Linked DNA regions of Arabidopsis thaliana. The protein of the gene in region 3 purifies or fractionates together with the protein of the main gene of each other region. This does not show direct contact. Each region holds a gene or a part of one and is shown on either strand. Other genes may lie near its edges.

Region 1 (3,756 bases), 1.4 Mb from region 3:
TCAAAATGGAAGCAAGTGAGGTTGAAAAATTGTTTGGGAAAGCTTTGCCAATCAGGAAGGTCAGGTAGAAACAAGAACCACCATTGTTGTACAAACTATATTATACATACTGTGTTCGGTTCATATAAAGTAATATTTTTGTACACAGTCATCATCATTCCATAACAATTGGATACAGAAAACACAAGGATTAAACATCCTTTGAGCGAAACAAACAACGATTGGTAAACATAGTACCTCAAGAAGAGCTGAAAGTGTTAACAATGGGGATGACAACATTTAGAATGATCAAGAGGATTAAGTCAACTGGGTATCTTTGTAAACATTCACCATTTCATTGAAATTGGATACAAGACACGAAAGGATTAAGACATCCTTGAAGAACACAAAAGGATTAAGACATCCATTGGTACAAAGAAGAGCGAAACAAAACAAAAGGAGTGAACATAGCCAGTATCTCAAGAAGAGCTGAAACTGGTAATGATGGGGATGACAACAATGAGAATGATCAAAAGCAGCACAATGATACCAATGCACATCCATTTTCTGCTGTTTCTCTGATGACTCTTTGCAGTCTTCAGCTCATTAGCTCCATCAGCCACGTAATGGCTCGCATTAATCACATGATGCTCGATCTCGTCCATCTGTTCACCTTGCGATTCAACCATCACAGCCATATCAAGAAACACTTGGTGAAGCTCCAACAGACTCTTCTCAATCTCCTTTGCTGCATCATACCTGTCTTGAATCTCAACCACAGTTTCCAAGACCTTTCCTTTACCATGTTCCTGAATTGCTCGCGTGAGAAACTCTTCACCTCCAGCGTTATCAGTGATGATCTTCTCAATCATCTCATCATTAGCATGTTCTCCAGTGACAGTGAAGTACCTTCTCTCAACAGTCTCCTTGTACTCACTCATCATCTTTTGCCTCAGCCCCTGAAACTCCATCATCACTTCCTTAAGTTTCTTCCTCAGCCCATTAGTCACAGCGGTTCTGCTCCTATAAACCGGAGTCCCAGAGAGCCTTTTAATCTCCTTGTTGGCTTTATCCATCTCTTCCAGCTTCGACTTAATCGATTTCGCCTTCCTCAAACCAGACACAATCTCGTTAGAGATCTTGTTACGAAGAGACTTCACAGACTCTGCCTTGTGAACACCTTTACTCTCTTCATGGTACTGTTCGATCCGAGCCAGCGTCTCACTAATCAAACCCATCTCTGCTTTCACATACTCTGCTTCTTCTAAGAAAGATGACAGATTCTCATCCATCTTGTCTGCTTTCGTAGAAGCCATCTCAAGATCAAAGTCAGGTCCTGCTTCCATATCCTTCATCGCTGCTTTTTTCAAGTCAACGTAACTCATAAACGATTTCGTCATCAAGTCGTTCATCTTTTTCACCTGAAAGTCAACAATTTTACAAGAATCAGAGAGAATCGCAGTGATTGTAACAGAATCAAACAAGAGAAAATCAAAGAAAATACAACATACTCTTCTGATTAGTGTGTTCTTCTAGATCCACAAAGTTTCTGCCCAGAAAGTGAGAGAGTAGTGTGAAGTAAAGCTTACTATAGAATTTGATTAGCGATTTGTGAGATGAGAGAAAGCTTTCTTTCTAATATAAGAAAAAGGAGAAATTAGCCGTTACTGTGATTTCTTCGCCCCAACGGCTATATTTTGGCGATGTATCCGTTGTCGTCCATTTGTCTATCTGTTTCTGTTTCTTCAAATCTATTTTTAAATTCATGTGAATTTCTTTCGAAACTTTAAAATAATATAGGGACTAAATTGTAATTAGATGTATGTTTTAGTGCCGACGTGTGTGATTGAGACAGCTTTAAAGATATCGAAACTGAGAAGAAAATATAGGGACTAAATTGTAATTATGTGTATGACATCGCTTTTGTCGACAAATCATCATTGGTGACGATTTACGAAAGCAAAGAAGAGGTGTTCTTAGCTGCACATTTGTCACCATTTATACAAAAATTGTGGTTCTTGTGTTTTGTTTTTTATGTTGGAAAACTTATGGTATAGTTTCTTTTGTTACGATACACCTTAGTTGAACCATTCAAATTATTAGGATATTTTCAAATATATAATATTTTAATTCTAATTTCGTATGTAAACGACTCTCCAATAAAACATCTCCACTAGCTTGTTGGTCTCTAAACTTGAAATCAGTTTTTATTTTTCTTGTAATATTTTCAAAATTGTTTCAATATCGTAGACAAATTTTAAATAAAATGTACATCATATCTCTATAAACTTAATAATACCCAAAATTTTGACTAATCACATTAAATTCCTTATGATATTCGAATAAAAAAATAATTTAATAATATTTATTGTAGTCGCAATTCAATATTTATTCTGTAATGCTTGAAAAATGTTTTTAAAAACTGTGTCACTACATTACTATAACGTTAGTATGTACTAAATTTTGTAACGTTTCATGGTTATAAAATAGTATTAGTTTACCGACAAAAATATATAGATTACGTAACGCTTGTTTTACATTAAAACAAATTTGTTAGGATTGTTTTGTCTATTCTACATTCGTCACATTTGTTTTGTTTAAACTTTTTGTTTTCTAATTAAAAAATTATTCTGTTTTTGTAATTAAATATAGTAAATTTGTTTGCCGCCCAAAAAAATATTACATAACGCTTGTTTTACATTAAAATAAAGTTGCTTCGATTGTTTTGGCTGTTCAACTCTAGTCACATTTGTTACGTTTGTTCTACTTATTGTCGTGAATCGATCGAAAACTTGTGCAATGTGGAATTGAGGGGGTTAGATGTAAACCAAAAAACTAAAAAGGGCAATCTCCAATTATTTTGTTAAAGAGGTGGCAATTGCAAATCTCCAATAATATAAAGTTCATAAAAAAGGTTAAAGGAGAGAGTTGTGGTGGAGAGAGTGAGACCCACGTGGGTGATGTGTTGGCAAACTATCTTCCTTAAAATCCAAATCCATTTATCCATCACTACTTTTTTTTCTTTTGTTTGGTAGTAAAATCCTTCACTAGTTGATTGCAGATGACTAATAAAGTAATAATCTTTCATTTTGGTGGTTCATCGCCTAATTTGTTGTTTACTTGATTGATAAATGTTTGAGGATGAAACTGTATCATTTATTTTTCTCAAAATTGTTTGGTTCATGACCTATATAATCCATTTGTTTAATATTAATATAGGTAAATTTAAAATTCGTTACTTAAATTGGCTAAACATACTCTTCAAAATAATATATATCCACTTAACATAGTTAAAACTCTGTATTCAGATAAAAGCATGGTAAAAAACCAAACATATCCATTTAAATGTATTCAAAGTCATGAGAAAATTTCCTATACTTGTTCCTTTATATCTGCGAGAAGTCATGAACCTTATCCATTTATTAGTTTTCTTCTGACCGACTAAACCTGATAATCACTAATCCACCGTTAGATCTTAAAATTCCAAATCCAAAATGGACGGTCAAGATCACTTAACGAAAAAGAAAACAGTTTCCTGTCCAGAAATGTCTAACCTTGAGGCCTTTTTCTCTTTCCTTTAAACTTTTTTTTTTCGATTATAAATTTTCTCGTGAAGCTAATTTTTCCTGAGAAAGAAAGCGAAACTTCGCTGGCGACTAAAGATTGCTGAGAAGACACGTCGTCTCTGTGAGAACTTTTTCTTTTTCTTCTGGTATATTCTGGAGACAGATATTGTTTTTTCTTCTGATTAGAGAATAATATGACGGAAGTGATTAG
Region 2 (3,756 bases), on a different chromosome or scaffold from region 3:
TTTATAGGTTCTTCGATCAACAAGGTATCCAGCAAAGTAAAAAACATAACCTCATATTATTCAAGAAAAAATAATGATGAACACCGAAATCTATTTAACTCAAACAAGTATCCAAGTGTGTGTGCACATTTGAATAAGAAAGGAGATGAGATGTACCTTGACGATGATGATTGCTATGACACCAATGACGATAAGGAAAAGAAATGCCATAATACATTTGTCAGTGGCAACCTGATAAAAGAAGGACAGAGAGTAAGTGAAAGGGACAAGAAGGAGCTGCAGATAACAAGTAATGATGATATAAAGAAGAAATAAGGAGATTTATGAGACTAACCTGCCTACCAATTTCCTTGACCAGCTTGGAGGCTTTCTTGAGTGAGAAATGAATAGAATCGAGCTCATTGACAACTCTACTCATTTGCTCGGTCTGAACAAGGAAAATGTAAACTATCTTAATAATTCTCAGAATTCACACACAAATACACAATCTTGGAAAAAAATGAGATTCAGGTAGAAGCAGGACTGTTTGGAAAGAAACAAGTGTGGGCTAACTACACACCTGAGCCTTGAGAGCTGCTGAAGTATCTGTTCCCACATTTATAGTTTCTTGTACAATCTGTTGTCACAGACACAAAAAAAGCAGTGAGATTTTGCTTTAGTGAAGATGGAAAAATGGACACAAGTTATCACATGGCATTCACGGCTCCATGAACATTAGACTGAAATTTCAAGAGACAATAAGACATTCATATAATCTGAAAACGGACCTTTTTCCCTCTCTCAATAGCTTGATCTGTGTCATCCATCATTGAGTTTCCTTTATCCATTAACTCTTGATTGGACATGTCTGAGAGTTATTAAGTTTCCAGTAAATACTCTAGTTAGGTTGTATGTAATCATATAACAACAAAGTGCAATAAATATCTATCTCATTGTTAGTTGGTCGCAAAATACGAGATTTAAAGACTTACTTGAAGCTAATAAGACATTTTCTTCCATGTGTTCTTCTCCAGGTCCATCGAAAAGATCTACTCGCTTGTTATTGCTTGCTAGGTTTGATGAGTATCTGTATAACCATCCTCATTATCATCAATCACCATAAATATGAGCATCAGTTAAGCAATTAGCAAAAGTGTGACCTACTTCTTCTTAAGAGCAACATATGAGTTGAGTTCCTTAACCATAGATTGTCGTCTATCGTTCAACATCCGGTTAGTGCTGGCATCATTACCGCTTTCCAAGCTTTTGATTTCCCTATCGAAATCTTTAATAAGGCTGCAAAGAAGAAGAACAAGGCATCATCATCATCATCATTGGATAATCAAACACCAGATTCAATGAATGTATACCTCTTACAGTCACGCATTTTGTCAGTGAGTTCTTCCAGCTGCCTACTCTGCCTATTAGCATCTTTGATCTTCTCCAGCTTCTGGAATCCATTTCTGTAGAAAACAAAAACATCAAAACATTATTATATAGACACAAATACCAAATCACAAATGGAGAGAAAACGCTAGAGAGAGATTCATTCTCACGATAAAGCACGGAAGATGTCATTGATTTGTCCTTCGATCTCAGCCAGCTCTTCGCTAACCGCTGATATTGGATCCATCTTTACACAGATTCCCAGAAAAATTCAGTGCCGATATACAAAAGACAACAATGTCTCTTCTTCAGATCCACGCGAGCAGTTTTTGAAAAATGTCGACCACGAATCGACTCGCCGAGATTAGATCCGATGGATCTGAAATCGAATCACCTCCAACGAAAAGAATTGAAAGCCTGGTGTCAAAATCGCCGAGCAAATCGTAATAACAGAACCCGTGTTTTTTTTCTTCAGATCTAAGAACAATGTGGATGTTCAAAATCGATAACGAAGAGATAGATATCAAAATCACGAGCACGAGCTCTCTCTCCCCTACACCCAGATTTTATTTGTTTTGTTTTTCCCTAATTTCTCTCGGACATTTTTTGTTTTTGTTCTTGGGGAATTCTAAAAGCTAATTTTTTGCCATTGATTTGGCTCGAAGGGACGAAAATGAGAGATTTTGAAAAACTGCGTTACCGAAAACCAGTGGGACCCGCCACGACATCGTTTGTCAGTGTTGGAACTCATATAACCTGGGACGTACGATTGGTCACCTCTCCAGATCTGACGATCCACACTCTTTACATTAGCTTAATTTTGATAATTGACTTTAAATGAAATTAAAATAAAGAGCACATCATAATAATTAATTCGAAAACGAAACAAAACTTTCAGTCCTTCATTAAATTAGAATCGTTTATTTATTATACAAACCGGTAAATGCAAAAATCGAAATCCAAACTAAATTTGAAAATAAGAAAAATTAGGACAAAGAAAAAAAAAAAGTGTACTTAAGAAAAACCGAATTCAACTAATTAAGGGAAGTGTATAATGTCATCTAGCTTGGCCCAAATAAAAACGGCCTAAATCCTTGCTTTTAGTTCATTCAAATAAATGCTTCATAGCATGAGATGTTGTCTGCTGTGTGAATCATAAGATCCCTCTTTTGATTTCAGATTTTCAGCCCATTTTACATTGTTTCTGAATCTGTTGAAATGTTGTCTGTTAAGGGACCAGATATGGTGCCAGTCTTAGGAAGCAAATCAAGAAGATGGAAGTGAGTCAGCACAGCAAATACTTCTGCTAGTTCTGTGGCAAGTATGCTGTTAAACGGAAGGCTGTTGGAATTTGGGGATGTAAGGACTGTGGGAAAGTTAAGGCTGGAGGTGCCTACACGATGAATACTGCTAGTGCTGTAACTGTTAGGAGTACCATCAGAAGGCTCAGAGAACAAACTGAGAGCTAGACTTCTTCTACTCATACACAACTTTTCAAGACCAGATTCATCTTTTGTTATAAGACTGATATACCAGATTCTTCTAATTGTTTAATCAAGATAGGGATTTTTGGCTACATGTATGTCAGTTGCATTCTATGAAGCAGACCCAATTTTTTTCTTGTTGATATACAAAGATCATCTCTAGTTTATTATCTACAGTTTCAAACTAGCTTTGCTCATAAAGGAACAAGAAAACCTGTTAAGGAAGATCTCTTCTAACCTATGCTCAACAATTGGTTTCAAGATCGCCATCATTCCTGTGAAAGGTCTGGGATTGGACAGCCTTCACGGCTGCTACTCTAGCTGCATTCGCTGCTCTATTTGCAGCCATCACCGCTCTCTTGATCCTCTCTTCCACTTTCACAACTTCATGTGCTTTCTCAGCTGCTTTCCTTGCTTGCTGAAGGAGAAAGAGAGAACAAGCTTAGTTTAATACATATATGGTGTTTGCAGTACTAAAGATAAACTACTAGTTAACTTTTACCTCAACAGCATCAACAACTTTGGAATGGCTTATGGTAAAAGATGATCCAGGACGGATAGTCTGCTCGGTAGGACAACTGAGTACACCGTCTTCCCAATGACCGGCTTGTGTATCACCATTCCTGAAAGTATACATACCAAGCCCTTGCCTTCTTCCCTCGTGCCAAGCTCCTTCATACTTATGCCCGTTCGCAAAGTGATACACTCCAAAACCATGCATCTTGTCTGCAAAATACTCCCCAGCATACGCATCACCATTTCTGCAACAGCAGCATAACTCCAAGTTAAATGTAGTTTTAAAGCCATGGTACCGCTAAAGCATACTGGACCACCAGTGCTTCATGCAATTGCTTAAGATCAATGCTAACTGAGAGTAACACAAAAGCCTAAACTTTGATGTTCACTA
Region 3 (3,756 bases):
TTCAAGCAGAAACATTAGATTGAAGATCGAACAATAAAAGAGAAGGCACTACGATGTACCGAGTGAGAAAGATCTCAGAAGTTTTGAATTTTCTGGGCTTAACACTTAAACCCATGGCAAACTGAGAGCACGATGATGAGAATCAGTGCGATAATGATGGCGAGCACTATGAGTTTTATCTTCATGTTCTGAAGCCACATCTTTCTTCTCATCTGCGTTCCTGTTGTTCTGAAATCTTGTGCCTGTGGCAGTTTGAGTTCAGTTAGACACAAGATATGGTAATAGGATGAGTCAGCTATGAACTCAAAAAGCATGTTCATCTTTGTGTGTGAGTGTAGGCAAATAGATGCAGGAGATAAGGGTATGAGAGAGTCTAACCTGTGAGCGAAGATTTTCGGTTTTGTCCACCAAAAGCTCAATTTTCTCACCACGGTCAAGAACCTGCAAATAATGAGTCGCATATGTAAGCGGTGTTACATTGGTAAACTGGACATTTCCCGTAAGATGTAATGCATTGAATTATTAGTAATTGATTTCACAGTAACTTAGTATGACTAGATGAGCTCTTTCAGATGGGTCAACCATAGATGTAAATATATACATTGAGGACAGAAAGGGTCAGATTCAAACCTTCTCAATGTTTTCCATCATTACACCCTTAACTTCTGACACTTGCGCCTTCACCTTAGCAAGCTTGCTAATCTCATCAGGATGATCCATGCAATACTGCATATGCTCTTTCAGTTTAGAGCTTCAAAGTTACCAAAAAGAGTCAGTCCACGAATATAAAAGAGAAGATCATCCAAATAGAAGAGATAATGAAAAAGTACCCAAACTCCTTATTCAAGCTGTTTGCTTGAGCAGTTGCAGCCTTTCCACCACCATATCGCTTGTTAAAATCTTCTTTTACTCTTTCCAAAAAGGACATGGGAATTTGCCTCCCAGCAGAATCAACCGCAACAACACAATAGGCTGTACAACAGGAACAAAATCAATCTCCTTGTCTTCCCTTACGGGATAATCAGGTGACATTGATTTAATATGAAATTGATATGGCTACAACAACTAAAGGATAGTCACAAAAGCTTACAATAAGACCCCAGATTTTCATTGAAAAATGAAGCCAGCCAAAACCCATGACCTAGGAAACTATACGCAAATAAAGCAACCAGTAAAAACCCTGTCTCAGATCAATGTTGGTGTTCTTCCACATAGTATCAACCAAAGCTACCACGGATTCTGTCCAAATCTGAGTGATTATACAGGTAAGACTCTACAGAGATTTATTGCGTTTAATAAATATAGATCTAACCCTAAAAGCTTGGTTCATGCGGTTCCTCAGTGAAATCAGACTACTCAGGATGCACAAATCCATACGAATCGATAGGTTAGGCAAATAAACCTAGAAACAAATCGAGGTAAGCACCGAATGGTGTAAGATTAAAACCTATGCATAGATCAAACGAAAAGTGACTTACTGAATCCATCTTCGACAAGGTAATTGAAGGTATGACCGTCGCAGTTGTAGGTGAACTTGTTGTTCGAAGACGGAAGCTTCTGGAGGCACTGAGCAGCGATTGAGGTGAAATTACCTTTGAAATCAGTGAACTCAACGAGGATCACCGTGCCGCGAGCTACGAAACTGTAGATCAACGATTGTTGCGCCATTTTTTCTTTACCTTAAATCTCCGATCCAATCGACCGTCTGATCAGAGAATTTTTTGGGCGGTCGCGGAAAAAAACTACAGATCTAGAAGACTATGAAAGAACAAAACGAGGACTAAAGTGGACATGGGAGAAGAAAAAGTTGAAAAGCGGGCAAGGGTAAAGTTGTCATTTAAGGTAGTCAGATTGGGTCAAAAATAGTATAAAACCTTGAATTTAAGGACTAAAAAAAAACAATTTCAAAACGGAGAGATCAAACAAATGTCGAGAAAGTTGGACCCGCCCGGATCCAGCCAAAAAGCTCGTGGACTCTGCCGATGGCACAAATTAGTAATTACCAACTTTAGGACAAGTTCAGGTCCCATGGTCGAAGAGAGTCTGTCTCTGTCTTCCTCAAAATATCTTTTTTTCCAAATTCATCATTGATCAGTGATTCCAGTATTAGCTCAGTTACGAACAAAAGGCTTAAACATAAAAACAAATGTTGTAATTAACCAAATTTCTTAATTCTTAATGGACGGGGGGAGCTCATAGTCATAGTATCTTGTTACAGCAACAAAATTCGAACTTCTACCGTTATCTCTTGTCATCTACAATTGCTCTGCATTGTTTAGAACCTGCTAATTAATTTGTTTAACGTGTTCCTAAAGATTTTGATCAACAATCAAATAATTGAAATTTAGGTAGTTAGGTTGTGGTTAGAATAGAAGGTTAGTGAATTGGAATGAAAGAAAAGGTTTGCAACATTATTTTAATTTTTTTGGTAGGAAGGTTTGCAACATTATCAATTGAACGTTCTTTTAAGTAACATAACATATAATTTATAGAAAATTTAACAACTCAAATATCCCTTACACATCGCAATTTTCTTTATAAAAAATCAATATATAATATATATATATATATATATATTTGTTTTTTAAAATGCTCATTGATAAACATTTCACATTTGAATTGAAAAACGAGCCACCGTGGTGTAAAAACATGAAGATACTATTATTAATTAGACGTGAATTATTTACCAAAATAAAGTTTATTAAGGCAATTTTCGACTATACAAATGATGAATTTTTCTTTTTATTTACTTTTTATATTTAAAAATTCAAAATTTGAACGTTACCAAAGGGAAAATAATGTCTCTGTTACTCGCGCAAATCCAGCGCTCTCATATAGTTTCTCTTCTCCGATCTCTGCGTCCTGCTTTCTCCATCGCTACCCCTCGTTCCCTTGTGTATTTTTACATCGCTTACTAATCTCTCTCATCAATTCGATCGGATTTTTGTGGTGTTCTTAGGTTTCGTTTTTTTATCTTTCTCTCATCTGGATAAAAGGAAGAATGGGACAACAATCGTTGATCTACAGCTTCGTCGCTCGCGGTACGGTGATCCTCGCCGAGTATACCGAGTTCAAGGGCAATTTCACCTCCGTCGCCGCTCAGTGTCTCCAGAAACTTCCGTCCTCGAACAACAAATTTACCTACAATTGCGACGGTCACACTTTCAATTATCTCGCTGATAATGGCTTCAGTAAGTCTCTATCTCCCGATCTGTGTCGATTTTGCTCTGTATTTCTCTGTTTATGCCTTGGTTCATCTGTTTTCTTATGAATGCTTAGTTTCGAAATCAAATGTTCGAGAACAGTGTAGCTTTGAATTTCGTAGGATATTCGTTGCTCTCGATTCTTGTGGCATTGTGTTATATTCAGATTTTCTTCTAATCAATGCCATGTCTTGATTGGATATGCAATCTGTTGTTTTCGTTCTGATTTTAATCAGCTTTATGCATGGCTTCTTTGGAATGTTTATTGTGAAGATTTTTATGTTTGGAAAGCTTTGGTTGTCCAATGCACGAATTTGCTTTAGTTGGAATGTGACAATAAGATTTCTCATTTCCCTCTGTTGTTATGCAGCCTATTGTGTTGTTGTTATTGAATCTGCTGGGAGGCAGATACCAATGGCTTTCTTGGAGAGAGTCAAGGAGGATTTCAACAAGAGATACGGTGGTGGAAAAGCTTCCACTGCTAAAGCCAACAGCTTGAACAAAGAATTCGGGTACTTTTAACATTTTTAGTCAGAGCATTTCTTTTCAATTC

Evidence for each region.
Region 1: the proteins of VAMP721 (region 3) and SYP111 purify together in Arabidopsis thaliana (affinity purification with western blotting; one study listed by BioGRID). This does not show direct contact.
Region 2: the proteins of VAMP721 (region 3) and NPSN11 purify together in Arabidopsis thaliana (affinity purification with western blotting; one study listed by BioGRID). This does not show direct contact.

The regions. Positions count from the first base shown.
Region 1 is NC_003070.9:2,709,320-2,713,075, forward strand, and holds SYP111 (syntaxin of plants 111), read right to left. Parts: upstream 1,682-3,756; 5' UTR 1,491-1,681; intron 1,401-1,490; 5' UTR 1,392-1,400; coding exon 459-1,391; 3' UTR 206-458; downstream 1-205. Other genes in the region: NPQ1 (non-photochemical quenching 1), read left to right, coding at 1-68; ACHT4 (atypical CYS HIS rich thioredoxin 4), read left to right, coding at 3,740-3,756. UniProt on the Arabidopsis thaliana protein: Involved in cytokinesis. Acts as a cell plate-specific syntaxin, required for the fusion of vesicles at the plane of cell division.
Region 2 is NC_003071.7:14,828,943-14,832,698, reverse strand, and holds the start of NPSN11 (Putative plant snare 11), read right to left. Parts: upstream 2,074-3,756; 5' UTR 1,613-2,073; coding exon 1,536-1,612; intron 1,443-1,535; coding exon 1,350-1,442; intron 1,276-1,349; coding exon 1,144-1,275; intron 1,067-1,143; coding exon 972-1,066; intron 848-971; coding exon 768-847; intron 617-767; coding exon 560-616; intron 428-559; coding exon 335-427; intron 232-334; coding exon 157-231; intron 1-156. Other genes in the region: AT2G35170 (Histone H3 K4-specific methyltransferase SET7/9 family protein), read right to left, coding at 3,094-3,267, 3,352-3,610. UniProt on the Arabidopsis thaliana protein: t-SNARE involved in diverse vesicle trafficking and membrane fusion processes, including cell plate formation.
Region 3 is NC_003070.9:1,331,759-1,335,514, forward strand, and holds the start of VAMP721 (vesicle-associated membrane protein 721), read right to left. Parts: upstream 1,894-3,756; 5' UTR 1,669-1,893; coding exon 1,479-1,668; exon of another isoform or gene 973-1,478; coding exon 831-972; intron 752-830; coding exon 631-751; intron 442-630; coding exon 379-441; intron 243-378; coding exon 99-242; 3' UTR 1-98. Other genes in the region: VAMP726 (vesicle-associated membrane protein 726), read left to right, coding at 3,002-3,191, 3,574-3,715. UniProt on the Arabidopsis thaliana protein: Involved in the targeting and/or fusion of transport vesicles to their target membrane.